Ovis aries: one gene and its partners. The protein of the gene in region 1 purifies or fractionates together with the protein of each later gene. This does not show direct contact. Links are inferred from orthologs where the notes say so. Each region holds a gene or a part of one and is shown in the gene's direction. Other genes may lie near its edges. The genes, in order: ADRA1D, SNTB2, CTNNAL1, SNTB1, DTNA and UTRN.

Region 1 (4,704 bases):
CACCCTGAGGGAGCAGCCCAAACACTGACTGATGGGAATGGGAGTATAGATACCTCACCTCCCTCACCCCACTGGTGCGACAACTACAGTCCCCCAGAGCTCCCAGTGAGATTGCACCCTGGTGGCCCATGGCAGTGACTAACTGGTTAACTCTCCTTTCATTGGCTTCCTTCTCTTCCCTCTTTTTATCACATGTCACTACTGGTGTTTCATTCACCTTTCAAGTGAACAAGTTGTATTTGAATCCTTGTCTCAGGTCTGCTTCTGGGAGGACCAAAGTAAGACAGAAACCTCAGCAAGACACAGTAGGAAAAACGTGGGGCTGAAAGGCTGAGTTTGAACCCCAGCTCCTTTGTGTGTAAGGAATTCCGAGCTGGCAGCAAGCTTCCACATAGGTTGGTTAAGCATAAATTAGAATTCTAATTCTTAAAAACAAGGCCCAGGCCACACTACAGATATGCCATGTTCCCCACAAAATTCAAATCAAAACCACATTGATAACAAAGCCCCTTGGCTGGTTTTTGGCTTACTGCTGAAAGCATAGTCCCCTGATTTGTCATCCTGGGCTAAATATAAAAGAATTCTAGCCTGAGTCAGAAAGTTATTTTCAGCACTCAGTCTTACTTTGCAGCCATTGAAGGATGCTGTTCAGAAGGCTGTCTTTCTGGAGGCTGAGGTCAACCCTGGTGGCCCCTGGATTCCAGGGACAACTGCCCGATACTTCTCCCAAGGGAAATTATCTCCTAAACACATTCTGACTGATGCCCCAGCCTCCCCCAAACCCACCAAATCTCAGCTTCTGTTTCTGGCCACTATCCAGAGCTGAGAACGGAGTCCCTTCAGGACTGAGGTCTCCTCTCTCAAAAAGCCACAAAGATATGGAAGGGGGAGGTGAATAGACTCCAGTATTTAGTACAAACCTGCTAAGTCTTACACCCTGAAATTCATGATTCATCAAAAAATCCCTTTCAGAGAAACATTGCTATGTATATTTCACAGAAAAGGAAAGTGAAACTTAGATGGCCAAATAACTTGCTGAAGGCTGCATGACCAGAGTTTGAAAATCCTGTGCCACGCAGTACTACCTGACATTCCTCTTTCTCCGCCTCTTAGCACCAGGAATCTCACCAAGTGGGAGGTGGGTGATATACAAGAGCCCACAGGTCAAAGAGGGACCCATGGTGCCTCTGCTCCCTCAGTAAAGGCCCTTGCTCTTATTTCTTTGAGGACAAGAAAACAAAGCATGTTTCATGGATTTGTCAAGGACCACTCCCCTTGTTCTGCTCACCCTGGCAGACACCTAAGGCTTTTGCCTGGGATGGGACAGTCTTGCCACCTATCCTTGACCCCTGCTGCTATTGCTGTGGAGGATGATGAGGGTGACAAAGTGGCCTGTGCTTCCTGAATGATGTCTTTGCACTTTGTTAGTTGCCCTTGGAGGTATGACTCCTTAAGGTCCATGGTGGGGAAAGCAGGGGAGAGGTTTGTGGGGAAGAGGGTCTTTCTGGCACGACTCAGACTTCCAGTACCCCCACTCCCTCCTGTCAGGCACTCTGCTCCCTTTTAAAGCCATCCCAGAAGCCTTCCCTGACCACTTCCCACTTCCACTGGGACAGCTCCATTATCCTGCATTCTGGCAGCCCATGGGCATTGCATTTGTTCAGTTGCTAAGTCGTTTCTGACTCTTGGCAACCCCATGGACTGCAGCACACCAGATGTTTGCTCAAATTCATGTCCCCTGAGTGGCTGATGCTATCTAATCATCTCATCCTCTGCCACCTCCTTTTCCTTTTGCCTACAATCTTTCCCAGCATCAGGTCTTCCCCAGTGATGTTCTTCACATCAGGTGGCCAAAGCATTGGAGCTTCAGTTTCAGCATCAGTCCTTCCAATGAATATTCAGGACTGATTTCCTTTAGGATGGCCTGCTTTGATCTCTTTGCAGTCCAATGGGACTCTCAAGAGTCTTCTCCAACACCACAGTTGGAAAGCTTCTTTCGAAGCTTCTTCAGCGCTCAGCCTTCTTTATGGTCCAACTCTCACATCCATACGTGACTACTGAAAAATATCATAGCTTTGACTATACTGACCTTTGTCAACAAAAGTGATGTCTCTGCTTCTTAATATGCTGTCTAGGTTTGTCATAGCTTTCCTTCCAAGGAGTGTCTTTTAATTTCATGGCTTCAGTCACTGTCCACAGTGATTTGGGCATTGTGTTTATTGAGGCTTAATTCTAGGTTCTATCTTTTGCCTGTTCAAAAATATCCGTATCTCCTAACTATCCACAAAATAAAAGTGTGACTTTCCAGCATTTAAGGCCCTTCACCATCTGTCCCAGATGAAGTTTTCTGAGCCTATCCTATTGGACATTCCCCTGCCCAAACTTGTTATCCTCTTGCCTACCTCTCCATTCCACTCCTGATAACCTCTACCCTTCCTCATCCTGCCTGGCTCCTGTCTATCCTGAGACTTTGGAAGCCCCCCCCAACCCCAATATACTGGGCACCACCATCATCCCATCTTCTTTCTCATGATATTTGATCCACTTTGCTACTGAGAGAGCAGGACCTCAGGTATTTGAGGAGAGTCCAGGACAGTGCCTGGCATGGAGCAAGCCTTGGTCAACATTTGATTCAGGAGTCTTTACCCTTCTTATAAAGCTAGGGACTACTTGGGCATCTGACAAAGTGTATGGAGCCTTTATCAGAATTACTCTTTCAAATGCATAAAATAAAATACAAAGGATTACAGATGGAATCAGTTTCATTGATTTTTAATTGAAATTTGTGATTTAGTATTAAATGTACTTCCACATGAAGGCTTTAAATAACAGGATCCACTGGTGTGTTCTAGTGACCATTTCCAAATAGGGAGAAGCATAGACAACATTTCAAAACATCTCCACCAACTGCTAATATTATGTAGAAAACTGACAATATTGCACTGTTTTGTAGCTGCAGTTTGGAGCTACAAAACAGTGATTTCAATGTCATTTTGTCTAATTCTACTCAGGTTTGTTGCTTACACTTGCAGGAAATGCTTGATTTCAGGTAAATGTGAGTAAAACTGAAGATGGTTGTTTTTCTTCATCAACGTTCATGGATACTCTTGAATTATATCAGGAACCCATTGAGGAGAGATATCTTGATAGCCCCTAGCTGATGAATGGTCAGAGCCCAGGAAAGGTGCTGTGGGAGGGGGAGTAGTGTGGAGAGGGGCTGCCTGTGGAGAGGGGCTGCACCAGGGGCAGCCTGGGGCTCCCTGGGGCTCCCTCTTCCTGAGCATCTAACCAGCCTGGGTCTCTGCTTCCCACAGGCTCCCTGTTTCCACAGCTGAAGCCCTCAGAGGGCGTCTTCAAGGTTATCTTCTGGCTGGGCTACTTCAACAGTTGTGTGAATCCACTCATCTACCCCTGCTCCAGCAAGGAGTTCAAGCGTGCCTTCTTCCGCCTCCTGCGCTGCCAGTGCCATCATAGTCGCCAGCGCCACCGCCCACTCTGGCGTATCTACAGTCGCAACTGGCAAGCTTCAAATGGCAGCCCACACCCAGACTGCACTCCTGGCCCAGGTGCCATACCCACCAGGGCCCCACAGGCCTTCACTGTGCCCTCAGCCCCTGGCTCCCTGGGCGCACCCAAAGCACAGGCTCCAGCTGTCCCCTGTCGAAAGATGCCCTGCACCTTCCGTGAGTGGAGGCTTCTCCGGCCATTCCAGAGACCTGCTACCCAGCTGCATGCCAAAGTCTCCAGCCCATCGCAAAAGATCCACACCAGAGAGGCCATGTGCGCCCTGCACTCAGAGGTGGAAGTGGTGTTCTTAGGTGTCCCCCACGATGCAGCTGAGGGTACTACCTGCCAGGCTTATAAACTGGAGGACTACAGTCATCTCCAAGAGACTGATATTTAAGGACCTTGAGTTAGGCCAAGGAGTATGCTGGGGTGGTGGGAAGGGTATGGAGAAGGAGACTGTCTTTGTTCAAGAGGCAGGTAAGAATCAGAGACCCAGAAACTAATCAGCATCAGTTTTGGCAACTGCTCTCCAGCATCTGTGAGGAACTGAGATGGGTTGAGGGTTTTGAAAGTTATGGGCTCCCCATCCTGGACACAGACGCCCCCAGCTCCTCCTTTCAAGAGAGGGGCTACAGGCTCCTTAAGGCCATTTGCTTCCAATCCCTGCTTGAGAAACACTGCCCCGTCTATGCTGTGAACCCTGGGTAGGTGGCCCCAAGTATAGCCAGGCAGCCCTGTCCCTCCTCTTGGGGAGTAAAGGGCACAGAGGCCTTGCCTGGCTGTTCCCAATGCCTCCCCTCCAGGAAAGGTCACTTGGGCCAAGGATTCTCAATGGACACAATTTCTTCTTAGCGCAGACTGGAGAAATCCAGTGAGCCTGCCATTGCCACCGGCATGCTTTGGTGGCAGAATAAATGACTGTCCTACAAGCCTGTTGTATAACCTGCAGGCCACTCTGCCCTACAGAGGCTCTGCCTTACCCCTCATTTTGTCTTCCAAAGGGCCTTACTGTTTACACTCTGTATATAGCTCCTTATGCCTGTGCCCATCACTTCTTGCTGGGATCTAGAACCATCAAATGGGGAGAGCTTTGTCATTTTTAGACATATTTATTGGTCAGGGTACTTCTATTTTCTCCAAACTGTGCAAACTGTTCCTCTTTAGCTTACAACCCATAAAGAACTCCTTTTTGTACTA
Region 2 (5,360 bases), on another chromosome or scaffold:
CCAACCTTTGGGTGAATATGTACGTAAAAGGTTCAAAATTGTGCTTATACTCTAAGGAATCAGCTGCCAAGTGCTCTCTAATAAGCAGAAATTTCACATAACTCAGGCCTCTGGGGGCTCACGCCTCAGCTGGAGCAAAGCCAGAAACTGACTGCAGGTGCACGTGGGCACATCGAGACCTGCCGGAACAGTGAGCTGGCCTCACTGCAGTTGATTTAGGAGAGGCTGGAGGGTTGAGCTTCTGCTGACACTTGCAGCTTGGAAAATCCTGCTCTGCTAATTGCAAAGAGGATTCTGCTGTAATGATTTTTTAGGGGTAAGATACTCTTCTCATTGTGAATTCTTTCTTCACTTGGGCGCTGGGTGATTTTCTAGTCTCTATTTTTATTGTTTTCACTTCTGGTATAGGAGGCTCTTTGAAAGTTTCTGCCCATACTTGAATGTGCATTCAGAGTGTTGCATGGACACAGCTTACGAGCTTCAACATGAACTTCATGAGCAAGCAGGTATACAAACCCCTTTTACAGGAATTGGTGTACACTCCCTGGGTTGGCATCCCCCTTTTCTCTCCCCTCCCCCCGCCAACTCCCCTCCTGCCCAAATGAAAATAGGGGAATTTTGCTTTTCCTGCCAAAAAAAAAAAGGAACGTTTGAGGGCACGGTGATCTCATGTTTTTGAGATCGATCTTCCCAGTGTGATTTCTGGACCTCATCCTTGAGGTCTGGACTTATGTTTGTTTGTTTTTTTTAAAAAAAAAGCACTGGACCAGGAGGGTGGGAGACGTGAGTTGTCTTTCTTCACTGTGAGCTTTGGGCCAGAATCTTTGACTTTCTGGGTCTCAGTTTCCTCAGCTCTTCTTTTATTGTGTAATTTTAAGGTGAGATAGCTGATTTATTCTCCCCATTCTACTAAAGCAGTGTCTTTTTTTCCTTTGAGTATAATTGCTTTACAATGTGTTACTTTCTGCTCTTCAAGCCCATGAAACTGTAAGAAGCCAGTGGATTGTATCACCTGTATCTTTGGATAAAAACCGCTGCAGGCCCTACATTGTGCAGTGTTTCTGGGGAGGCCCATGTGCACTTGCCCTAACATAAGGCCATGGCCTCCAGGGTGAGAAAGTCAGATCTACAAATTCAAGTCCAAACACTTCCAAATATGTGGTTATATTCGGCGTTTTACACTCGTATACTGTCGTTGCCACTGACCCTATCCTCTCTTGACATTGGATTCTGGCATCTCCCTAAGTAACCATCATTTTACGGATATCTTTGAGACCTACCTATCGTGACTGCGGGGCTAAAGATATTTTTCCTCTGACATTACTGGCAAGTAAACAGGGGATTACAAAGCAGAGTGACAAATGCTCTGACTTTTGAGTTTCATTGTCACCTCTATAAAGCTGACCCCAGACCCAACTAAATGTTCTCATCTGCTCACAGGGCATTTTGTACTTGACACTCACCACATACTATAACATCAGGTTAGCTGATTCTCTTTGTTTTCCTCCCCAACTAGACTCTCAGCTCTCAGCTGTGGTGCATTTTATTCATCTCATCTCCAGGCCTCAAAAAGGAGCACACTTGGCGGAGCGTTCTGTAAACCAATCAATGCAAAAGTGTACCTGCAACTGGGTCTTGCAGGCTTGCAAAGTGCCTCTCGAAGCTGATTTTACTCTCTGTGCCCAGGCAGCTCTGGCGAGTTGCACGGTAGAAGTCAGGAGCTGGGAGTGGGAAGATCGGAGGCGTACGAGGGAGAACGTGAGACAGCCCAAACCACGCGAGCTGCCCACGTCCGGTGAACTGTAACCCACTGGACCTCGGGCAACTCCTTAACCTCCCGGAAGCTGCTCGGCTGTCCTCTCCCCTCACCTCCGGAAGGTGGGCGTGGCCTCATGAATAATGAATCACCGCCGGGGGCGGGGCCGGACCCGCCCCCACGGGCGGGAAGGGGGAAGCGCCGAGGCTGCCTGACTGGAATGAGGGTAGCTGCGGCGACTGCGGCGGCGGGAGTGGGGCCGGCCATGGCGGTGTGGACGCGGGCCACCAAAGCGGGGCTGGTGGAGCTGCTCCTGAGGGAGCGCTGGGTCCGAGTGGTGGCCGAGCTGAGCGGGGAGAGCCTGAGCCTGACGGGCGACGCCGGGGCGGCTGAGTCTGAGCCCGCTCTCGGGCCCGCGGCGGCCGCCTTCAACGGCCTCCCGAACGGCGGTGGCGCCGGCGACTCGCTGCCCGGGAGCCCGAGCCGCGGCCTGGGGCCCCCGAGTCCACCCGCGCCGCCGCGGAGCCCTGCGGGCGAGGCGGGCGCGTCACCGCCGGTGCGCCGCGTCCGTGTGGTGAAGCAGGAGGCGGGCGGCCTGGGCATCAGCATCAAGGGCGGCCGCGAGAACCGGATGCCGATCCTCATCTCCAAGATCTTCCCGGGACTGGCGGCCGACCAGAGCCGGGCGCTGCGGCTGGGCGACGCCATCCTGTCGGTGAACGGCACCGACCTGCGCCAGGCCACCCACGACCAGGCCGTGCAGGCGCTGAAGCGCGCGGGCAAGGAGGTGCTGCTGGAGGGTGAGCCGGGCCGGCGGGCGGGCGGCGCTGGGCTGGGCTGGCCGGCGCTCACTTTGTTCTGCCACCCTGCCCCCTTTGCGGGGCCAGCCCCTTCCCTCCCACTCGGAGACCTCACCTTCCCCTCTGCTGGCGGCAGGCTTCCCCACAACCCCGTTGCTGGGGCTTTGGAGATGGAAAAACTGATGCTCCCTGCAGGAAAAGTTGGGCTGCCGCCGAAGTGTGGCTTGCAGTCCCCTAGGAAGGTTTTAGTTTGGAGCAGCCGTGCTTGAAGCCCCTCCTCTGCACGCTAAGCTGACACTAAGAACTAGAACAGGACTTCTGAAGGTCTCCGTTTGCCTCCTGAGTGGCGCTTTCTTCACTCACCTCTGGTTTCTTAGGCCAGGCAGGTCTGTTAAAAAAAAAAAAAAAAAAAATTTCATCCACACCGATGCCAGCGGTATGCTTGGGCAGACCACCAAAACGCTGGTTAATTTATGGGAATTTAACCCATCATTGGCTCTCAACAATAACCAAAGGAGATCATAGCACTTCATCGAAGCCAGAAAGCTGAAACAGCAAGTTTGTGTGGTTAATGAGCCTTGTTTAACAGTGGAGGCTCACGTGTTTGAACTTTTACTGTCAACTAGAATTTTGCCCCTTTTTGCAGGAGACGGGGTGCCAGCTTCCTACCATTCACAGGCTTCAAGGCTTTAAGCTTAAATTCAGAAGCCTGAAGTGTTAAATCTCAAGTCACGTTTGAATAGTCAAGATTATTCTTTTAAGTTTGAGTGTGATCTGTTACCTGAGTCTTTTATGGAACTAAGGCAAAATAAATTTTATCTTCTTGAAGGACTCATGCATGTTGGAGGTAATACTACTTCAGAAATTTTTGAGTGATCAGCCTTCTTTCACCCATTCAGTCATTTAAGAGGCATTTATTGCTGACAATACAGAAGAGAATATAAAAGATGATGTGTCTCTATTTGGTGTCTAGTTGGAAAAATGATAGAAAAATGCAAAACAACTTACAAATTATAGATTGTGGAGTGCAAACTATATGAATACCAAGGGAGTGCAAAGTTAGGAAGTAGTGGAAATCAGCTTGATCAGGGAGGAGTTTTTCAAGAAGCTGAGTCTTGAGCCAGGTCTCCAGGGAAGTGATGGACATAGGCAGGGATGAGTCAAGAGGGTATTCCTGGCAGAGGAAGAACAGAAGGGAAGGGGTGGGGAGTGGAGGTAGGAAGTGGCCAGTCATCAAACTGACTGAGAGGCCAGAAGTCTAGCTTGGCAAAGTGATTTTCACTTTTTCCTAAATCTGCTAGTAAACATTTGGGAAGGTGTTAGTTTCCAAGTAAATATTTTAATGTGCTCTAATTGTGAAATTCCAGTCTCCCACCTTATAATATCCTATTTATAAATATTTATATTTCACTTAGGTGGGGCTAGGCACTACTCAGAAATTAGTGTTAATAAAAGGAGTAAAATTATAAATTGTGGCGATGTGGGTTGTATGTGTGTAAAAAAAGAAAGAGTTGCCATAAATGTGTGTCTTGAAATTGTGCTAGCTAAGAATTTGGTTATAAATTCTTAGAGCCAGAATACTGACTGTAGTACTATTTATGTGGTGCTCAGTGGTGATGGGCAGATGTTTCAGCTCTTAACCCATATCTATATTTTTTAAATCTAGTTTTTGTTTAGATATAATTTGAACGTGGTATTCATACCACTTAAATAAAAATCATCTAGTAAACACTTCATAGTATTCATTAACCTAAAATAGGCCACATGTGCTTTTAGAAGGAGGCTTTACAAATGGCAGCATAATATTTAGTGAATGTTTGTTTACCTAACACAGGTTCTACCTTATTTTCCCATTTTCTAAAAGACAAGACATTTTTGTTCTTATATGTGTGGAGAGGTATGAAACTGAACTTTAAAAATCAAAGGATATAAAAATAAAATTGCTTATAATATGCAGAACCACTGCAAACAGTGATTTCATAGAATCAGTCAAATGTTTAAAATTGAGAACTAGTGACCCATCCAGGAAGGCTACTTTTAAAAGATAGATTTTTATGCTTAGAGTTTTAGAACTGAATGATCCTTCCATTTGATGTCTCAAAACTTGAAAAACTACCTTAACATAGCACAGTTTAACATAGCACAGTGATGCCCTTTTGTGGTGCGTGCAGGGAATTTTAGGCAACCTTTATCACCCCCAGGCAAAGCAAAGCTGTACTGTCTGGTTGCCTGTGGTTAGGGAACCCAGTGAATTGAAGGGTTTTTTGTCGTTGTTTTTAATCTCATGGATTTGTAGGAATTATTCATTCATACATCAAAGGTTTGTTCAGGTCTTCCACTTGCCAGAGTCGCTTAAAAATAGTCTGATTTCTGCCCTCAGGAAGTTTGGAGTTGAGGTAAGAGAGAGTTAAGAAATAGTACAGCTAAGGGCTAAAAACTGTGAGAATGCAACTCTGGAGAGGGTGCAGTACAAAGAAAGACCCTTGTGGGCATCAGAGGTTGAGGATGCCCAAGAAGAGATTGATGGAGAAGTTCAAGTTTGAATCAAGCCTTCCCCTAAGGAGAGAGCTACCACCAGTAAAGACAAATGAGAGACCTGAAGAAGTCAGTTTGCCCAGGGAGGTTAGAGCACACATGAGGGCTTTGTGGTCAGCTAGACCAGGCTATGTTCTGGCTAGTGGTTTGTAACCCCTAGGCAAGTTACTCAACCTTGCTGCACCTTAGTTTCCTCATCTGTAAAACCAGGATGATAATAACACCTCTTCACAGGGCTGTTGTTCATTTGACAGTTTTTGTGCCTGGAG
Region 3 (4,704 bases), on another chromosome or scaffold:
TCAGCATAAAAGAATGTTGTATTCATAACTAGTAGCTACTGAGGGCCATCGGTACCTGCTAGATTTCAGATCTTCTGATTCCCGCCTAGGCTGTTGCTCTTCTTAATGTATTCTGTTGCCCTTTGTTGTAATTTACTTTTCACTTGTGAAGTTCTTAATTCTTCTTGGTAGTTTTCAGTGTGATATTTCTTAATCTTCTTGATGAGAGTGGTAGCACAAATATTGTTTTGCTGATTTTATAGACTCAGAATTGAAACTTCTGACGTGCCTTGCCATAGTTGAAATTAGAATAAAAAATGAGAATTTCTTGATTTTCGGTCTCATCTTTTATCTCTTATGGAACAAAGGCGTTTTATTTTCAGATCTCATATTTTGAGTTTATGAAGGAAAATAAAGTTAAAAAAGAAACATAAAACTTAAATATGTCAGTTTTAATTTTCTTTACATTATAAAATTTACATATATAATGTTGACCAGTTTTTAAACGTGCCTTTAGAGGTAAGAGTTAAAGCTGCTTTAAGAAGAGTGACAATATTACTCGACTCTTCAATATTATTCTTCAGATTTTGGATCTGTAAATACACAGGATGCTCTAAAACTTTAAAATCAATTTCTAGGCAATAACTTTTTCTTAGCTCCTTAATAATTATTTTATTTCAGGGGAGAGGGGCCATTAAAAACCTACCAGGATTTAATTCATCAACTAGAGGTATGTTTACTTTCTATTTTATGATAATACTTTAATTCCGGACTAAAAGTTGGTAACAGATAGTTTTCTGAATGATTTACTATGTCACATTAGTGTGTTTACCTGTACATACCACACGTGTACAGTAGAAGCGTGGTAGAAAAGTCAAGGGTTTGCACAGCGTATTTTACAGCTAAATCTAAAAAACGGTTATCCTTTTTGGAAAAAAAAACATAGGGATAAAGTAGAATGGGCTTTGATAGTCACTAGATGGAATATTAAGGTTTAGGTTTTCCCAAGTAGGTAAAAATATCCTGTTAGCAGATGCCTGTCTCTTATATTGTCCTGAATACTAGGAAAGCTTTTTGACTTCATTATTGCACTGGATGAATGGTATTGACTAAATGAGGAAACACATAAGAAAGCTTCTGTCACAGGCTTGAGACCATTGCAGCTTCGCAGTACATGTTAGTTTCCTTCTTCCATGGTCCCGATGATTAGGGCCTTCAGGGAGAGACAGAAACACCGACACCTGCCCTTCTGGCCTGTGTGTCTTACGAAATTTCACGTAGGCCTGACTCTAATCCTCCTCCCTTACTTAGAGGCTTAGATGGTGAGATTACAGGATGCCTTTCTTGTTTCCCCTGACTCTCATGTCAGTCTGTTTGCCTCTCTAGAACCAAGGGCATTCTTGCATTTGAAATTTCTATCACTTTATCACCTTTATATAGTTTCCTTTGGCATTCCCCTGTGCTTTCACCTAAGTCTCTTCAGGAAAGGGATTTCAGCTTGAGAGGATGCCAGTCAACAGAGTCAGAAGAACTGCCGGAGATATTTCATTTGGTTTTTCTGTAAAATTGACTATGAGTGAGCTATTTCTGTTTAAAAAGTTGGAGTAAATTCTGGATTCATTTTGTTCAGTTTGACCCATGTCCACTCCAAGGCAGACCACATCGTAGAGAGTATTTCACTGCAAAATTATCCACTCTTACCTTCTTTCTGTGTTAGCGTATTTATTAAACCAACATCTGCTGAAGTGTCTACATAAAATGTTTATCAAATAGTCATTGAATTTGTACTGATGTGTCAGATCCTGGGGTTAAGAGCTCTGCGGAGAAAAGTGAACAAAAGGAAGCCCCTTCCCCTCCCCATGGAGCTTACATTCTAGTGGGAGCAGATAGACAATATGCAATTAAGTATATAATGCCCATATATAAATACTTAGAGATAAAAACATAAAAGTGATAGAGGGATGGTCAGAAAAGACCTCTTTAAGGAGGTAATATTTGAGTAGAGTGCTGAGAGAGTGAGCTAGCTGGATATCTTGGGGGTAGAATATTTTAGGCAGACAGAACAAGTGCAGAGGCCCTGAAGTACAGGAAGCGCAGGTGTCTGAAGAACAAGGAGACAAGCGTGGGTGGAATGGAGTGAACAAGAAGGAAGGTGGTAACGTATGACATCTCTGAGCCTTGGGAGAAACCTTGATTTTTTTTTCCCCCCCAAGAATGATAGAAAACCCATTGAGGGTTTTGCAGTGGCATGACCTGACTTCTGTTTTCAAAGGCTTTTGGTTTGACCAACAGGGTAAACAGTAGCGCCATTTACTGACATAAGGAACAGAGGGACAACACTGGATTTAGAGACTGGAAATCAAGCATGTAGTCTTGCTCAAGTAAGATGTACAGTTCACGTCAGGATAGCTCAAGAATAGAGAGACTTAGGAGTCATCAGCTTTCAGGTGGTTTTGAGACCATGATATTCTGTGAGACAGGGATCTTGCTCCTAGGGGTTTGCAGGCTAGAAGGGAAGAGCTGATACGTACAAGAGAAAGTGGTAATGTGGAAAGATGAGGAGGAACATGTGGGTTAAGTGAATCATTCCATTAGGTTTGAAGGTTGGTGTGAAACACATTGGTTTCCCTTTTAAAGGCTAAGGAGGGATGTAAAGGGCTATTTGACCCTGAGATCAGTTTATCCCATGATAGCAAGGCTGTTGGAAAGAGGGTTAAAGGTAACCCTGAAATGATTTTCTCCTTCTTCATATGCTTTACCTAATTTATTACCAAGATCTATTCTTTTTCTTCAAAAATCATTCTCAAATTTACCCAGTTCTTTTTACTCTTAATGCTGCCACCTAAAGCTACATCTTCATTTCCCTGGTATCTCTCACTCTAGAAGATTCTATGTACCATTTGAAAATAATCATCCTGAATAGTCTAAAGTATTTTCCAGCATTCTTTCCTGTCATCCTATTCTGCTTACTAATAAAGCATAGAATGTGCGGTAAGTAGTAAAAATCTAATCTGAATTGGTCCATTCAGATGGCTGAAGAACGTGTCTGGGTGACAGAGTCCCTCTTGCTAAGCCAGAAGCAAAAACTAGTGTTCTAATGCTTTTGACCTCATGTTCCAAGATTCATCACCCTTTTATAATTGGGGCTACTATGGGATGAACTTCAGATCCATCCAGAAGCCCAGACATAATTTTTCTAAGTATCGCATGATCCTCCACGGTAATTGGAGGTGGCCACACGTAGAGGAGCCTCTGCAGGGATGAGTTTGCATCAGGTCTGGGAAATCTGCTTGTGGATAGAGTTAAACACTTATGTTTTCCTGGGCACAGGGAAAACCGTAGGAGTTCCCATGACAGGTGTTTAATGTTTGGGTTTTAGTTTTAAATTCCATATGAAAATTATCTATGAGTGTACTTGTTACCAATAGAAGACATACACCTAAAGTAGTTTTTCCTTTCTACCAGGTTTTTGCTGAAGAGGGTTTGAAGCTTGCTTCAAGTGTACAGGCTTTCTCAAAACAGGTAATTCACATATCCCCCTGCCTGGTCCTGGTGGTGATGTCATAAATACTCATTTTGAGAGTGTATTATTAAGATATATTTGATGTTTAAAAGGTGGCATTTCATTGGAACTGTTATAACTGCCATATTTACATTTCAGCTGAAAGATGATGACAAACTTATGCTTCTCCTGGAAATAAACAAGTTTGTCCCTCTCTGCCACCAGCTCCAGACAATAATTAAGACACCTTTACAGAATCAAGTGTTTCTAAAGGTAAAAGGGACAGTGGGATGTGCAGGAAGGCACTTGAGAAACGTTCACACTCCTTTTTTTATTAGGTTAGCATCCAGCCTCTTTCTTCAAATAAAGTGTTAATACCCAAAGTACAACTGATTTCCATTTTCCTGCCTCAACTACAAGAACTGTTTATCATCTGTAGCTGACCTCGGGGAGCAGTAGGTTCACCAGATAAGTTAGCTTTTTGGACATGATTAATGCCATAGCACTGAGCTGCTGCTGCTGCTAAGTCGCCTCAGTCGTGTCCGACTCTGTGCGATCCCATAGACAGCAGCCCACCAGGCTCCCCCGTCCCTGGGATTCTCCAGGCAAGAGCACTGGATTGGGTTGCCATTTCCTTCTCCAATGCAGGAAAGTGAAAAGTGAAAGTGACGTCGCTCATAGCACTGAGCAGCTGCCCCTAAATGTCACCATCATCACCTGTCTAGGGCACAGACCCTTCAGAGAGAAAGGCTCCTATTGTTTATCTTAGGAAGTTTGTGTGCAGCCGAGTGCGAGGGATTGCAGGTTAAGGGGCTCACTGCCACTGGTGCACACTGAGAAACCCATCAGTGGTCTGAAATAGAGCAGGTTGGTTTTGCATTCATTCTCCTGAGGCTCCATGAAGTTGGCACACACGAGACCTCAGCAGCAATCGCGGCTTCTGTGTTCTGGGGCCTCAGTCCATCAAGTCAGTTCAGAGACCTTAATCTGTATAGCCGCTGAGATCCCTTAGATTTCTGTAATGGTGAAGTTGTAGATACTAAAGGCTTTTGAAGGCCCCCTGGTAGGAATTTGATCTGCTTGCTTTCTGTCACTCCAGGTTGATAAGTGTATTACAAAGGCAAGATCCATGATGGCTGTTTTGGTTCAGCTTCTCTCACTTTGCTATAAACTGTTGAAGAAGGTGAGATGATTTCTCTGTCTTAAACTCAAATTTTAAAAAT
Region 4 (4,704 bases), on another chromosome or scaffold:
GTGTCCTAGAGGGAAGCCACTAGTTTGTGCAACTGAATTGCCCAAGATCTGGAGGAACTGCCCCTTGGGTTTGCCACCCATTTTAATCCACTGCCATTTGTAACAGCAGATGCCATTAAGGGCCCCGAGCAGCAGAGAGCCAGGCTGTGTGAACTGTAGGAAACGGACGTGGAGCTTACGTTGCGCGTTCCAGGATCCAGGTGCCTTGTCAGTGTGAATGCTCTCTAAGAACCAAGTGCTTAAGTTCAGAATCAGCAAATAACACCTTAATGTGTGCTTAGTCCTCGGTCGGGTCCCACTCTTTGCGACCCTTTGGATTGTAGCCCGCCAGGCTCCTCTGTCCATGAAATCTTCCAGGCAAGAATACGAGTGGGTTGCCATTTCCTTCTTCAGGGGATCTTCCTGGTCCAGAGATGGAACCCAGGTCTCCTACATTGCAGGCAGATTCTTTATCATCTGAGCCACCAGGAAAGCCCCAACTAACACCTTAAGATCAAGTAAACATATCAGAGAGCAGAATTTCAGTCTGCTCCACTCAGCTCTTGAATGATTGTTTCTTTAAATTTTAAAACACAATGTATAACACAATGGCTAAACATGAGAAATTATATAAAAGAGCAATAAATGAATAATAAAGGTCTATTTCTCCATCATCTTGAGTTTCATATCCACTCCCAGAGCTAACTACCATTAACATTTTCTTGGACTTCTGTCCATGAACTGTAGTAGCTACACAGGCATATATATCTATGATTGTAACCACAATCACAAGTAACCACAGTATATGCGCTGTTCTCTAGTGCTTTTTAAAAATAGATAGTAGATCTTACAGGCCTCTCTACATCAAGACATCTGCATCTATCCATTTTTAAATGAACGTAAAGGTGCCTTACGATTTCTTTAATCCGTTCTCTTTTATTGAACCTTTAGGTTGTTCCTAGTTTTCAGCTCTTACAAGTAATATTTTTGCCATCATAGATGTCTACCGTTACATAGATGTTTTTCTGTGTATTTCTTTACATACATGTTCTCAGCACTGTTTTTTGAAAAGATTGTCCTTGCTTCTGAACAGAATGGTAATGTGGACGGTCAATGTGGGTACCAGATACCCTACATCTATACTGAATAATTGCGTTTCTTTTGACTAAGATATGCTTTCGCAGTCTCTGTTCGTTTCCCAGCCTCTTCCCCAGAATGCACCTTATAATCAGAAAAGATAGACGTTGTCATAATCGGAAAACCTGAGAGTCATTCTGAAGTTCAGGCCATCTTAATGGCAGACTGTAAAAACCACGCTGGCACCTAAGGAACAGACAACTATTATCCGGGGAATGTAAGAGGGTCCTGTGCTGCTGGTCCAGCGCGCTCTCGGAAAGCCGCAGCCCGCCGGGACCCTCAGCGCTGACCGAGGCTCTCTGTCCCCTCTCTGCTTGCAGTGAAGTACATGCGCGAGGCCACCCCCTACGTGACCAAGGGCTCGCCGGTGTCCGAGATCGGCTGGGAGACCCCGCCGCCCGAGTCCCCGCGGCTCGGGGCCGGCGCCCCGGACCCGCTGGCGTCGCAGCCGCCGTCCTTCCACCGAGACCGGAAGAGCATCCCGCTCAGGATGTGCTTCGTGACCCGCAGCCTGGCGCTGGCCGACCCCGAGAGCAGGTACGAGTGGGCAGGCCCCTCCGAGCTGCGGTCCTCGGGCGCAGCTCCGCGAGCAGCCTGTGTGTCAAGCGCGCCCCCCTCCTCTCTTCTTCCCTCCTCCTCTCTCCTTCTTCCTTTATCCTCATGAGGAATCTATGTGTTAAGCTCTCCTTCCGGAAAATGTTGAATCCATGGAGTCAGGATCTTTTGTCTCCTCGCGGGTCTGCCTCTGCCGGAAGCTGGGCCAGTTTCTCAAGCGCTGAGCCTCAGTTTTGGCTTCTGTAAAATGGAGATAATTGAAATCCATACTTCCCTGAGTTATGAAGACTGAATGAGGAAATCCACGTGAAGTAGCTAGCCCAGAGCAGCCATCCATGAACACAGGCCGTGATACTGTGTACTACTGATGTCGGGTGGCAATAAGCATGGGCTTCCCCAGTGCTCAGTGGTAAAGAATCTGCCTGCCGTGCAGGAGCTGCGGGACTGTTCAGTCCCTGGGTGAGGAAGACCCGCTGAAGGAGGGAATGGCAGCCCATGCCAGTATTCTTGCCTGGAGAACTCCATGGACATGTAGCTTGGTGGGCTACAGGCTGTGGGGTTGCAGAGAGTCAGACACGACAGAAGGGAGTGAGCACCCGTGCACAGGGATAAGCGTATCAGCCTCCCTGGGGCCCTCATCTGTGCCCTTGGAAGGTTCAGGGAGAGGATCTTCAATGCTGTTTTCTGCTCTGAACCTCTCTTTATTCTCAAGAGAGGAAACAGAGAGGTTTGGATCCAAGTCTAGGATGCTGTTTCCCAAAGTCTGTGCGTGACTTCTTTGTCACAGCCTAGATGCATAAACCAATCCATGGCAATCAGGAGTCCAGGCAAGATGAGCAAATATTTGGGGTCTCTCTTCCCCCCAGAGTCTTCATCTCCTCCGCACAGAAAATGTACATCTGGAATGAAAAGAAAAGATGTGTAGAAAGGAAAGAGGGAAACGGAGCCGGCGAAGGGGGAATCTTGGTGACCTTTGCATCCACATTTAGATGCTAAAAATAGACAGCTCTCCTGGCCCTTATTTATAACAAGTGTGGGACAGCTGTGACCCTCCCAAGGAGGAAGTACTTGGCTAGGTTCAGGGCTGCTGGTGGGGAAAACCCAAAGGAAATAGAAACAAGGAGAAAGTGGCCTCCTTGGCTCCCAGCTCGGTGCTGTTTGGTTCTCTTCCCTGTGAACTTAGGCTGAAGAAGCTGCTGGCCCTTCTGACCCCAGCCGGCTGCCCTCTCCTCGGTCAGGGATCAGAGATGGGCCTTTGTATGAGACAGCCCGCCTCTGCAGAAGAGAGCAGAGGAGGCGGGGAGGGCGGTTCCGAGCGGGCCCCGCCTGCCCGGTCCGCCCGCCTGCTGCGTTCCTGCTGCCTCGGGGCCACAGAGCGGCCTCCGCACTGACTTTCCTCTTCCCTGACTTTTCTTACCCACCTAGTCAGAACAAGTCCTTTCTCCCAAGAGTCTGAGGTCTGAGATTTCAGATCTGATGAATTCATAACTTACCCACTGCCGGTCTTGTGCCGGGCAGCATGCTAATTACTTTAGCCCTGACACTGCAAAGTGCCCACGCCTTCGGGTGTGCCTAGCCCACAGTTTTTTTTTTGTTTTTTTGTTTTTTGTTTTAATGGTCTATCTAGGGTTGCAAAGATATCTGTGAATTAGTTGCCACATTGACTAGCTGGGAAATTTCACGTTAAAAAGCCAGATTTCTGCTTTTTTAGAAAAATCAGAAGATCTAATGATATCCTTAGGCCTACATTGCTGCAGGCAGGGCTCCAATCTGTAAAGATCCCAGAAAAGACCTCTCCTTCCAAAAGAGAAGAAGCTCTTCTCATCAGTCCTAATGCCTTACGCTTAAGGGATTCAGTGTAACACCTGCCTGCCTGTTCCGTTTCCGCCTAGTCCTTGAATTTGTAACCATGCTTAGACCTCTGCGTCTCAGTCATCATCCCCATTCCACAAAGATAACTGAGGCTCAGGGCTCATATAAGTCCCTGTCTTCATAACTAGTATGTGATACAACTGGGATTTCATCTTGTTCCCATAGAGTGGGTGACAGTGTTAGCTTACCGTTACCAGAAAAATACAGAGACTAGGAAACTTGGGCTGTCTTGGAAGTGGTTAATGCATTGGGGAGAGGGTTTGAGACAATGTCTAGGGTTCCTTTCATCTGTGGACTTTTATGCTATCACGTTTCTCCCAAGCGTTTAATTACCTTTTAAAGGCTCTTTGGCGAGATATCAGGCTTTAGTTCAAAAAGCTTATTTTATTGAAGTACAGTAGATTTACAATGTTGTGTTAATTTCTACTATATAGCAGTTATTCAGTTATATTATACATATATACATTCTCTTTAGTATGTTTTCCATTATGGCTTATCCAAGGATATTGAATGTAGTTCCCATTTTTTAAACTTTCATGTTGGTGCTCTTCAGGTTGGTCTCTGGTGAGTGTATGTAGGGCCTCCTACATGGTGAGGGAAAGTTTGTCCTCTGGGATGTGAGGGTGTGACTGCAAACGAGAATCCAGCTAAGCCAGAGGGTCCAGGAAGGGACTTTGGTCCAAACAGATCCAAAACTGTTGACGGTAAATTAACCGTTCACAGCAAATCTGTGTATCATGTCACCATGATGCAAACTTTACATGTCTTATAATTTTTTCAATTATACCTCATTAAAACTGAAAAAAAAAAAAAAGACTAGGTGACACTGGTTGAATAAGAGAAGAAAAGAAAAAAGCAACAAATACTCTGTGGAACTCCAGTCACATGCTAGGCAGAGTCTATTACACCATTCAAAAATATGGATTTTGCAAGACTTTCTTGGTGATTCAGTGGTTAAGGCTTCCAGCTTCCCAGGCATGAAATGCAGGTTCAATCCTGGTCTGGGAACTAAGATCGTGCATGCTGTGTGGCACAGTCAAAAAATTTTTTAAAAAGAAATATGGTATAGGGCTGGGCAGATTATACAAGGCAAATGCAAGCTAGCAATGAAAACAAACAAAAAAGCATCAATTTCTCTTGATATATGGCGGGGTAAAGTCC
Region 5 (5,321 bases), on another chromosome or scaffold:
AAATGATGAGGGATGAAGAGGATATAGGCATTTTACGATGTGCAGGTCTCTTTTCTCAGCAAAATTGTGGCATTGTTACAGCCCATTAACTTGATCCTGCCCAGCTCCCCTTGGCATCCGCTCATGTATTTCTTCACTTCTGCTTTAGTCCATGTCAGTGTGTGTATCTATGGGCAACCTCCCAACACCACTGCCTGCAGGATAGTCGTTCCCATGAGTCTTATTTCATACAATTCCATTTTAGTTTTTATTAAGAAGCCTAGTGGACTCTATAGTTAGACATGTCTGGTTTTAAGCCCTAAATTGATCACTTGGGCAATTGCTTAATCTCTCTGAAGCTCGGTTTCCACATAAGTAAAATAGAAAGAGTAATACGCCATTGTTATGGTGTTCTTATAAGAACATAATGAGAAAATTCCTTCTTAGTGTTTGGTATCTTGTTCACTTTTTTGTAAAACAGTTGTGTTTTAAATAGTATTGTGATTTTTATTATTGTTACTGTATCTTCTCCCAGAAAACGTCTGATTTTCTTGTCCTCTTGCAGAAAACAATGAACTCCCTGCCTGTCCCCTTTCCACCTCTCCAAACCCAGCATTCCCCAACTCTAAAAAATAAGAAATGGAAAATTTAAAGCACGCATTCCTCCCTGGCTTATATCTGAATGCTCAGTGCCCTGCCCTTCACTTTTATTCTCATTCTCCTCAGGGAAATCTAACTCCTACAAATCCAGATAGCAATTAGCCCATGGTCAGTAGTAGCCTCAGTTTTGTTTTGCTTTCTCAGCACATTAGCCATGGACAAGAGAGGACCTGTTTCTTTCTCCTATTCTTTTTGCTGCTGTTTAGTGGCTAAGTTGCATCTGACTCGCGATCCCTGGCGAGTCCGCCAGGCTCCTCTGTCCACAGGATTTCTCAGGCAAGAATACTGGCATAGGTTGCCATTTCCTTCTCCAGAGGATCTTCCTGACCCAGGAATGGAACCAGCACCTCCTGCTTGGCAAGCAGATTCTTTACCACTGAGCCACCAGGCTAGGCCTTCGTACTCTTTTCAGGCTCCTCCAAAACAAAATCCTTTCAAGCACCAGGAGTCATGCCAGTAAAGTCCTAAAGAACGTTGCCTTTCCAGATGCAAGTTTCTGCCTGACACTCGCATACTGACTTTGTATATCTGGGCACCCTGGGTTCTACTACATGAGGAGCCCATCACTATCTTCTCTGCATCATGCCAGCACTACCTCAACATCTTTCCTGTTTTCCTGGTGTTCAGAGGCCAGGTTGCTCTCTCCTCTGGGCAGCTGCTCTGCAGATATATCCATTGACTGCTCCCTTTCACTAATGATTAGTGCTCCCTAAAAAATAAAGCTACCTTTGATTCTCACCAAATCCTGGCTTTCTTCCTCAAAACCAGCCCATGCAAGGAGCTATAATTTCTTCATTTGTGTATCCAGAGACATAAGCATTTTGGTGGGGTGAGGATCCATACTTTTTATCAAATCATTGAAAGGGGCTAAACTTTAAAAGAAATTATAGACTGGATAGTATTGCATTGCTTAATCAGCTAATACCTCTTAATTAAGAAGCTAAGTTGAATGCAATCACTTCAAAAAAGTTTTGAATTACATTTTTACAATTTATCAAATTATTTTACTTGCATAAGTGTGTATACATATACACATTTTTACATATCCAAGTAAAATAATGTATATAGTATATACAGTATATATGGGACTTCCCAGGTAACTCAGTGATAAAGATCTGCCTGCCAAACAGGATGCGGGTTTGATTCCTGGGTCAGGAAGATCCCCTGGAGAAGGAAATGGCAACCCGACTCCAGTATTCTTGCCTGGGAAATCCCATGGACAGAGGAGTCTGGCAGGCTATAGTCCATGGGGTTGCAAAAGAGTCAAACACGACTTAATGACTAAACAACAACATACAATATGTATACTATTATCTGTATAATACTATGTATATACTATACATATATAGTATACATGTATACTATATAAATATAGTATACCACTATAATGAGATTAAGTGGGGCTCAGAAATAAGTGGGGCCAAATTCAAAAATTTGGAGTTGTCTTATTGCAAGATTAGTGAAAAACTGTCTTACAATTACGGGGAGAGGGGAATTTTCATTCTTCATTTATTTAATTTCATTCAATAAATATGTCGGGAAAGGAAATAGACCTACATTTATGAGCAGGGACATCCTACACTGAATTGAGACGGTTCCAAATAGTCAGAAGGCAGACCGTTTCCTAACACCCGCCCCTCAGAAGTTAAAGACTTCACAGCCCCAGCAGAATGGCAGGGAAGACTCTGGTTCCAGTATTCAGGTTAACCATAGATCCCCCATAACCAAGTGGGCCTATCCAGTATGTCCCCTACATACAGATGAGTCCTGTTCTGAGAGTGCATTCATAAGTTCAATTTGTTCATAAACCCAACAAAGTTAGCCTACAATTGACTATACAGTACTGCAATGTAATAGGTTTATAATACTTTTCACACAATACATTAAAAATAAGCACAAAAAATAAAGAAAACACCTTTAACCTTACAGTAGAGTACTTGAAAAGCACAGTAGTGCAGTACAACAGCAGGCATACAGGGGCTGGCATCGAGTGAACAGGCTAGAAGAGTTACTGACTAGAGGAGGAGGGAGGGGAGGTGGGAGATGGGAGAGCTGAAGGATCGTCAGCAATGGGAAACGGAGAGCGAGCCGCAGCTTCACTCACACCTGGTGTTGACAGCACAGGTTCTGGCTCTTTGCTGGATGCAGCTCTATCTAACCCTCTTGATAAAAATGACCCAGTGATGTCTGGGTCATAGCTCCTTTGTTCTCATCAGAGATGACACGGTAGCACTGCACTGCATTCTGAACGGCTGCTGGCTCCTGCGTGTACTGTTCTATGTCCAGGTCCTGTGCCTCAAAAGCCAACAGTGACTCCTCAGATAAAGAAAACCTCCTTGCCATTTCCTGCTCCACTTGTAGAGAATGCACACACGTGACAATGTACGCCAGACACGTGAGCTAACTTCCGTGACTGGACATGCAAACGTACATTCGCATCTTTGAAAGTTCACAACTTGAAGGTTCATGGGGACTTCCTATACAAGTAACATTATTGCTTGTGAGAAATATAGATGCGCACACACACAACCCTTGTCCCAAAGGCACATCATATGAGATAAAACACGGTTCTCTAAAAACATCTTAGGTCCCAGTGCAGAGCTGAAGGCAGCGGTACAGATGACCCCCTGTACTTGTGGTTGTCTCCCCCAGAGACTCTTGAGGTCCCTTTGATGAAGCTCTTAGGCAGGGCTTCCAAGTCCTTCAAAGACTTTCTAGTCCTTTTAACCTCACACAACAGAGTCCAAGTTTTTATCATCTTCCTTCCAAATGGCTCCTTTTTCCCCATACCAAACTGCTCCCAGCCCTGCTCTGCAATCTTTAAATCCTGACTAATAGGAGGAGGTGAGAATCATACCCCCGTGCTCTTGAGCAGAAGGCCTAGCCTCATACCAAGCCAAATGGAGTCAAACAAAAGCCAGTGACCTTAAACATCTTGTACACTCTAACCCCAGAAAGCCTTCCTTCCTGACTTGAAAGTACCACTGATAGTACTCCTCTCCAGATAAAAATTGTTTTCTCACTTTTTAATGACATTTTTTTTGTTACTTAAAGTTTGCCTTAGTATGTACCCATATCAATATATCAGGGCTTCCCTGGTGGCTCAGACGATAAAGAATCTGCCTGCAATGCAGGAGACCTGGGTCCATCCCTGCATTGGGAAGATCCCCTGGAGAAGGGAACGGATACCCACTCCAATATTCTGGCCTGGAGAATTTCATGGACAGAGGAGCCTGGTGGGCTACAGTCCATGGGGGGTCACAAAGAGTCAACTGAGCGACTTTCACCATCACCATCGTCATCAGTGTATGCATATTTACATTCTCTGAAGAATTAATTATCTTCTCCCTTGGCTCAAAGTACATTGTAAAGTGGATCTTACAAGCTAGAGAAACATATTATAAGGCAACACAGGAATTCCAGCCTAGGGACTTCCCTGGTTGTCCAGTGGTTAAGAATCTGCCTGCCAATGCAGGGGACATGGGTTCCACCCCTGGTTTGGAAGCTAGGATCCCACATGCCTCAGGGCAAGCTTGGTTCACCGCAATCACCAAGCCGGCTTTCCTAGAGCCAGTGCTGGGCAACAAGAGAAGCCACCGCATCGAGAAGCTGTGCACTCGTGACTGGAGAGCAGCCCCCATTTGCTGCAACTAGAGAAAAGGCCAGGTGCAGCAACAAACACTCAGTGCAGCATCGAACACTCAGCACAGCCAAAAATAAACTTTTTTAAAAAGAATTCCAACCTGTTGTTATTGTTCAACAGTCAAATTCAACTAACACAGTATTTCTAGTATTAATCTGGCTATGTATCAGGGATGCCTGTGATGCACTGTTAAAGTGCAAGGGTTCCACTTCAACCCCCGATTCAGTAGATCCAGGTAGTATGTATATTTTTTTATGAAGTCTCCAGGCCAGGGTGATGTTCAGCCACTGCTGAGAACCACTATGGTGGGTACTTTGGAGGAAAGACCAAATCCCTGATAACAAATCCAGCGGGTCCTAGCCCTAAAATAGTAAGCTCATGTCCCTCATTCCCCAAAACAAAACTCAAGTTCCAAGATGATGTTCAAAGTAAAAGGCTGAGCCAGAAACCCATTATAGCCATTTATTTCAGTGACAGCATTTTCCTACTTTCAGGAGCTCATCTAGATAAAGGACTAGGAGGTAGAAGCAAATGCAATTATACTTTGCCTCAGGAAAGAGCTCTGAATGCTGTTCTATCATATTGCCAGAGATCGGGACTAGAAAGTAAATCTGAGAAAATGCTATCAGAGGCCCCTTTTCATTAATAGAAATGGAAACAGGCTTTTATATGCCACCAGTAAAGAATCCACCTGCCAATGCAGGAGCCGCAGGTTCGATCCCTCGGTTGGGAAGATTCCCCTGGGGGAGGAACTGGCAGCCGGCTCCAGTGTTCTTGCCTGGGATAACTCTATGGACAGAGGAGCCTGGCAGGCTACAGTCCATGGGGTCACAAAGAGGTAGACACAGCTGAAGTGACTGAGCATGGACAGGCACACAGGAAATCAGTTGGGGAGGAAAGGAGCTTGGAAGGGCCTGCATTGCAGTTATTCACTTTGGGCATCCCCACAGTTGGTGACGGCTGGACCCCACACGTTCCTGTCATCCACCTGGAGCGAAGGGAGGGAAGTGTAAAACCTGGGAAGGGGCTATCACACTAA
Region 6 (4,704 bases), on another chromosome or scaffold:
TATTAAGTGCTGATGGTACTGAGGTGAAAAGACATGGGCCCTGCCTCAAGCACTCAAGCTTTGAGTAGGCAAAATCTATTCAACCATATTTGAAATGCTTTTTTACTAGTACTTAAATGCTGCTGCTGCCTTAAATGAGTTCTTAACTAATATGATCAAGGCAGGGCCAATAAGATTATTTGTAGTATATGAATGAGAAATAGGGATTAAAATAAAATGAAATTTATAAAGAAACTTTTTGCCTTTTAGTCTTCAGTTTTTCATTATTTTGAGGTCTAAATTAAAATGAAAAAGTACCCAACCACAGCTGTGCTTCCTTGGTGGCTCAGATAGTAAAGAATCTGCTGGCAATGTGGGAGACTCAGGTTTGATCCCTGGGTTGGGAAGATCCCCTGGATAAGGGAATGGCTACCCACTCCAGTATCCTTGCCTGGAGAATTCTGTGGACAGAGGAGCCTGACAGGCTACAGTCCATGGGATTGCAAAGTCGGACACGGCTGAGTGACTAAAACTTTCACTTTTACAGCTGTGCATTTTTTGGAATGATATTTATCCACTGCGGAAGAGCTTTGCAGGAAGGTAGAAGTTCTTCTTCAAATTCAGCATTACTTAGGTGTTTGAAGACCTTTTAAATGTCTTCAAAGATTATTGTCTTAATTATTTCATATGGTTGTATCAGTGTTTTATTAATTCCTTTCTAGAACCATCAGAACCAGTTGGAAATATTTGATGGCAATGTTGCTCACATAAGCACCTGGCTTTATCAAGCTGAAGCACTATTGGATGAGATCGAAAAAAAGCCAGCAAGCAAACGAGAAGAAATTGTGAAGGTAGCAGATCAGTAACACTTCTGAGAATGGAAGGTTTAGCTATCTCCTTTGTCTTGATGAATATTCCAAGTTACTTGCACACATGTGTTTCTCGTGCAGATTTATTAACTTTTATGTTGGTGGGATAAACAAAATGAGTCGTTTTGTTTGTTTTGGTTTTTGTCTTAGCTAAATTTTTGTTCCATTCCTCTTAGGTAAGAATTGGCATCTAAAAGTGCCACATTATGGGGCTGTTAACATAATTTTTCCATTGTAATTTAATAAGCTGGGAAGACAGAAAATACTTCATTTTGTCATGGTGCATAGTTGAATGCTGCATCATTAGTTAACAGCAGAAGTGCAGTTTTAGTTATTTTTTTCATGACTTGCAAAATTTGGTGGCACTACAGAAAGTTGGAGCAAAACAGACTTCATAATGAGTAATTGGCTTTCATTTCTTGGTACGTATTCCCCACTGATCCAGCTTTTCAGAGGAATCTGCTGTGAAAGAAAAGATAGTATGTTTTTTCAGAAGTGCCGTATGGCAGACTTCTTCACTTTGCTCAGCTTCTTGATACTCTTATGCACTGGTGATAAGCAAAGAAGAACTTGTTGTCTTGGGAACTCCAGAGTCTCAGAAAATTTCTAAGAGTAGCCCTTATTCTTTCCTGTGTTTTTACATTTTGTTTCAAAGTTGAAGGTCAGACCTAACTTTTAAGAATTCCCCCTGGGAAATCTTTTCTATCTACTGCTCAGGCCCCACCAATCCTTCTTTGGAACTCTCTGACGCATCAGATATGGATGAACAGTTGAATTCTGGGTTACAAATATACTCTCGAAACATTTTGCAGACATCACTGAATGAATCTTTTTTTCCCCTTCACGTTGTTTATCGATGCCAGGAAACACTGCATAATTAAAGATTTGATGAGGAACCTGCAAACAATAAAGAATGTGTCTGTTGCCAGCAAAATAACAATTGATTCAGGTCCTTTAGATGTTACAGAGCTTTTTTCACACCAGATGGTTTATATGAAACAAAACCATTTTAGAGTGTTTTATTATGCATCTATAAACCTTTAAAGAATGAGATAGTTTCCTTTCTTCACTACATTTTCTTTATTTCCTGGACTACACTTTTAGTGAATTTATTAAATTTATTACATTTATTAGATCACTAACATATGTTTAGCATACCTTTAGACAATTTTTCATGAAAGCCAAGACCTATCTGCCAAGTGTTTCTTTCTTTCCGCTTGATTTTTCTTAAAGAGAATTTCAAGAATCTCTACATAACTAGCGAAATTTGAGACAAGCAGTGGCTGTTTTTTTTTTTTTAATATGACAATCAGATTTAGATGCAAGACAACACATTCTAAAAGTTCCATAGTTAAGCTGATGTTCTCCTGTTTCTATCTGCATACACTAATTTAAAAACTACTTCCTCAAACGACTTAATTTCTCTCAGCCACCATAACAAGCACAGATTCTTCAGAACAGTGGATTAGGCTCCATGTCTTAGATCACTGAGTGCCTTGTGGTATCGTTCATTCTTGTAATCACAAGGAAAACATTTGCAGAATTTATAGATACATACAGATAAGCGGGTACTCAAAAAGTACTCATAGCCATACTCCTGAGAGAATTCCAGCACTCTTCAAAAACTTATGAATGAAGTAGGAATTGAGGCAGGTATTTGCATCCCTTTCTTAGGCCTGAAAATGAATTTAATGACCATTATGAAATTAGCCAGAGGAGACTGCGTAATGTTCTTGTACATTTTAGTTAAAAACTAAATGGTAATATTCAATTCCCTTCCAAACCAGTTTACCTTCACCAAGGAAAGGGGGATGGCGGTAAACAAGATTTCTAGGGGGAAAAGAAGTTAAAGTCTGTTCCTTGCTACTTAATCTTTTATCAGCCTCAAGAAACTTTGCAATTCTTAGAATAAGATGGTTGAGGAAATGACACAATAAATCTTATAGACTATTCAATTATAAAGTAAAGTTTTATATAAACTGGGAGTAGTTTAAAATGCTTCCTGTATAGCATGAATGAGTCTCTGTCTCTCTCTCTCGTTAAATATATGAACAGCTCTTATTCAAATTGATGGTACAGAAGTCTCTTACTAGAAGTCTCAGACATTTGTTTAAGCTCCCTTTACTTCCCAGTTAGCACTGCACCCATGTTTGGTTTTGATTTTTTCCATGTGATTATTTCGTGCTTTCTTACAATTAGCGTTTACTCTCTGAGATGGATGATGTCAATCTCCAAGTACAAAACGTCCGAGATCAAGCTGTTGTTTTGATGAGTGCACGTGGAGGCTCAAGCCGGGAGCTTGTAGAACCAAAATTAGCTGAATTGAACAGAAATTTTGAAAAAGTCTCTCAACACATCAGAAGTGCCAAAGTAAGTAATTATGTTTTTATATAAAACTATTTTCTTGTAGATATGTAGCTGAATGGTAGATAGTTACATGGTGCTCGTGCTAAGTTGCTTCAGTCGTGTCCGACTCTTTGCGACCCTATGGAATGTAACCTGCCAAGTTCCTCTGTCTATGGGATTCTCCAGGCAAGAATACTGGAGTGGGTTGCCATGCCTTTCACCAGGGGATCTTCCCCACCCAGGGATTGAACCCACGTCTGTTTTATCTACCTGTATTGGCAAGCAGGTTCTTTACTGCTAGCGCCACCTGGGAAGCCTCAATTATATGGTATATACAACAAAAAAATTAAACAAAAATGGTTTTATCACTTTTCTTTGATTGAGCATTCGTTCTTATTTATGATTGTCCAAATGAAGGAGAGAATCTAAGAAATTAGTATTAAAGAAAATAACCCATTTGAGAAAAGGTTTCAAGTATTCAAATTATCTAAGAGGAGGGTCCTCTTTTTTTGTAGGAAGTAAATATTCTCTAACTTTGCTTTGTTTTGAAATATCTGATGTTGTTGTCATTTAGTCGCTAAGTCCTGTCTGACTCTTTGCAACCCCATGGACTACAGCCCACCAGGCGTCTCTGTCCATGGGATTTCCCAGGCAAGGATACCAGAATGAGTTACCATTTCCTTCTATAGGGGATCATCCTGCCCCAGGAATCAAACCTGGGTCTCCTGCATTTGCAGGCAGATTCTTCCCACTGAGCCACCAGGGAATCCCAAAATATCTGATATAATAGGCCAAACTATCTCTCATAGCCCAAGAATATATTTAGATTATTTGCAACTTAAAGAAAACAAACAAAAATCTTGCTTTAACTCTTGCCTTCCTTACCTTGTGACCTAAGCTTACTTATTTAGTCTTTTCAGTAGCTCTATAGGAGATTTTTCTACAAATGTAAAAGAGTAATATAAGAGACATAAGAGGAGGATTGAAAGAAAGTACGAAGAAAATGATTATTTTTCCTGTAAATAATTTGTTAACATTTTGGCATGTATTTATATTCTTATATGTATGTGATATTAAAGTATCAACATTTTTATATTGTTTTGTGTATTCTCCTTTGACAAGGTTTTTAACAGGTATTAAACTATATGATCTGTTGTGGTTTTTAAGTCAGTTTTCCACTTTTATTGTGCTTTTTTAAATATTGTCTTGTTAAAATTCTCTTATGCATGTCTTTTTGCTTGTGTCTTAATATGCCCTTAGGATCACTTCGTAGAATTCCTTGGAATTGTTGTGAAAGTTGTTCATATAAATGCTGTTAAATAGATTTTTCCAGAGAGGTTGCTAGCTTCCCCATGTTCAGTCAACACTGCCAGTTTTCCTGCATTTCATTTTATTAAAGTTGTTACATGATTTTAGACTTCTCCAGTGGCTCACTGGTAAAGAATCTACCTGCATTGCAGGAGATTGAGGTGACATGGGTTCGATCCCTGGGTTGGGAAGATCTTCTGGA

The links.
Region 2: the proteins of ADRA1D (region 1) and SNTB2 purify together in Homo sapiens (tandem affinity purification; 4 studies listed by BioGRID and IntAct, with this or other methods). This does not show direct contact. The link is inferred for Ovis aries from reciprocal best matches to the Homo sapiens genes ADRA1D and SNTB2.
Region 3: the proteins of ADRA1D (region 1) and CTNNAL1 purify together in Homo sapiens (tandem affinity purification; 3 studies listed by IntAct, with this or other methods). This does not show direct contact. The link is inferred for Ovis aries from reciprocal best matches to the Homo sapiens genes ADRA1D and CTNNAL1.
Region 4: the proteins of ADRA1D (region 1) and SNTB1 purify together in Homo sapiens (tandem affinity purification; 4 studies listed by BioGRID and IntAct, with this or other methods). This does not show direct contact. The link is inferred for Ovis aries from reciprocal best matches to the Homo sapiens genes ADRA1D and SNTB1.
Region 5: the proteins of ADRA1D (region 1) and DTNA purify together in Homo sapiens (tandem affinity purification; 4 studies listed by BioGRID and IntAct, with this or other methods). This does not show direct contact. The link is inferred for Ovis aries from reciprocal best matches to the Homo sapiens genes ADRA1D and DTNA.
Region 6: the proteins of ADRA1D (region 1) and UTRN purify together in Homo sapiens (tandem affinity purification; 4 studies listed by BioGRID and IntAct, with this or other methods). This does not show direct contact. The link is inferred for Ovis aries from reciprocal best matches to the Homo sapiens genes ADRA1D and UTRN.

Annotation. Positions count from the first base shown.
Region 1 is NC_056066.1:50,655,594-50,660,297, forward strand, and holds part of ADRA1D (alpha-1D adrenergic receptor), read left to right. Parts: intron 1-3,314; coding exon 3,315-3,904; 3' UTR 3,905-4,704. UniProt on the Homo sapiens protein: This alpha-adrenergic receptor mediates its effect through the influx of extracellular calcium.
Region 2 is NC_056067.1:35,944,647-35,950,006, forward strand, and holds the start of SNTB2 (beta-2-syntrophin), read left to right. Parts: upstream 1-1,973; 5' UTR 1,974-1,976; coding exon 1,977-2,556; intron 2,557-5,360. UniProt on the Homo sapiens protein: Adapter protein that binds to and probably organizes the subcellular localization of a variety of membrane proteins. May link various receptors to the actin cytoskeleton and the dystrophin glycoprotein complex.
Region 3 is NC_056055.1:14,330,566-14,335,269, forward strand, and holds part of CTNNAL1 (alpha-catulin), read left to right. Parts: intron 1-660; coding exon 661-709; intron 710-3,444; coding exon 3,445-3,501; intron 3,502-3,640; coding exon 3,641-3,856; 3' UTR 3,857-4,580; coding exon of another isoform or gene 4,581-4,673; 3' UTR 4,674-4,704. UniProt on the Homo sapiens protein: May modulate the Rho pathway signaling by providing a scaffold for the Lbc Rho guanine nucleotide exchange factor (ARHGEF1).
Region 4 is NC_056062.1:94,924,334-94,929,037, reverse strand, and holds part of SNTB1 (beta-1-syntrophin), read left to right. Parts: intron 1-1,436; coding exon 1,437-1,653; intron 1,654-4,704. UniProt on the Homo sapiens protein: Adapter protein that binds to and probably organizes the subcellular localization of a variety of membrane proteins. May link various receptors to the actin cytoskeleton and the dystrophin glycoprotein complex.
Region 5 is NC_056076.1:22,643,948-22,649,268, reverse strand, and holds the start of DTNA (dystrobrevin alpha), read left to right. Parts: upstream 1-2,043; 5' UTR 2,044-5,321. UniProt on the Homo sapiens protein: May be involved in the formation and stability of synapses as well as being involved in the clustering of nicotinic acetylcholine receptors.
Region 6 is NC_056061.1:69,059,807-69,064,510, forward strand, and holds part of UTRN (utrophin), read left to right. Parts: intron 1-701; coding exon 702-830; intron 831-3,047; coding exon 3,048-3,218; intron 3,219-4,704.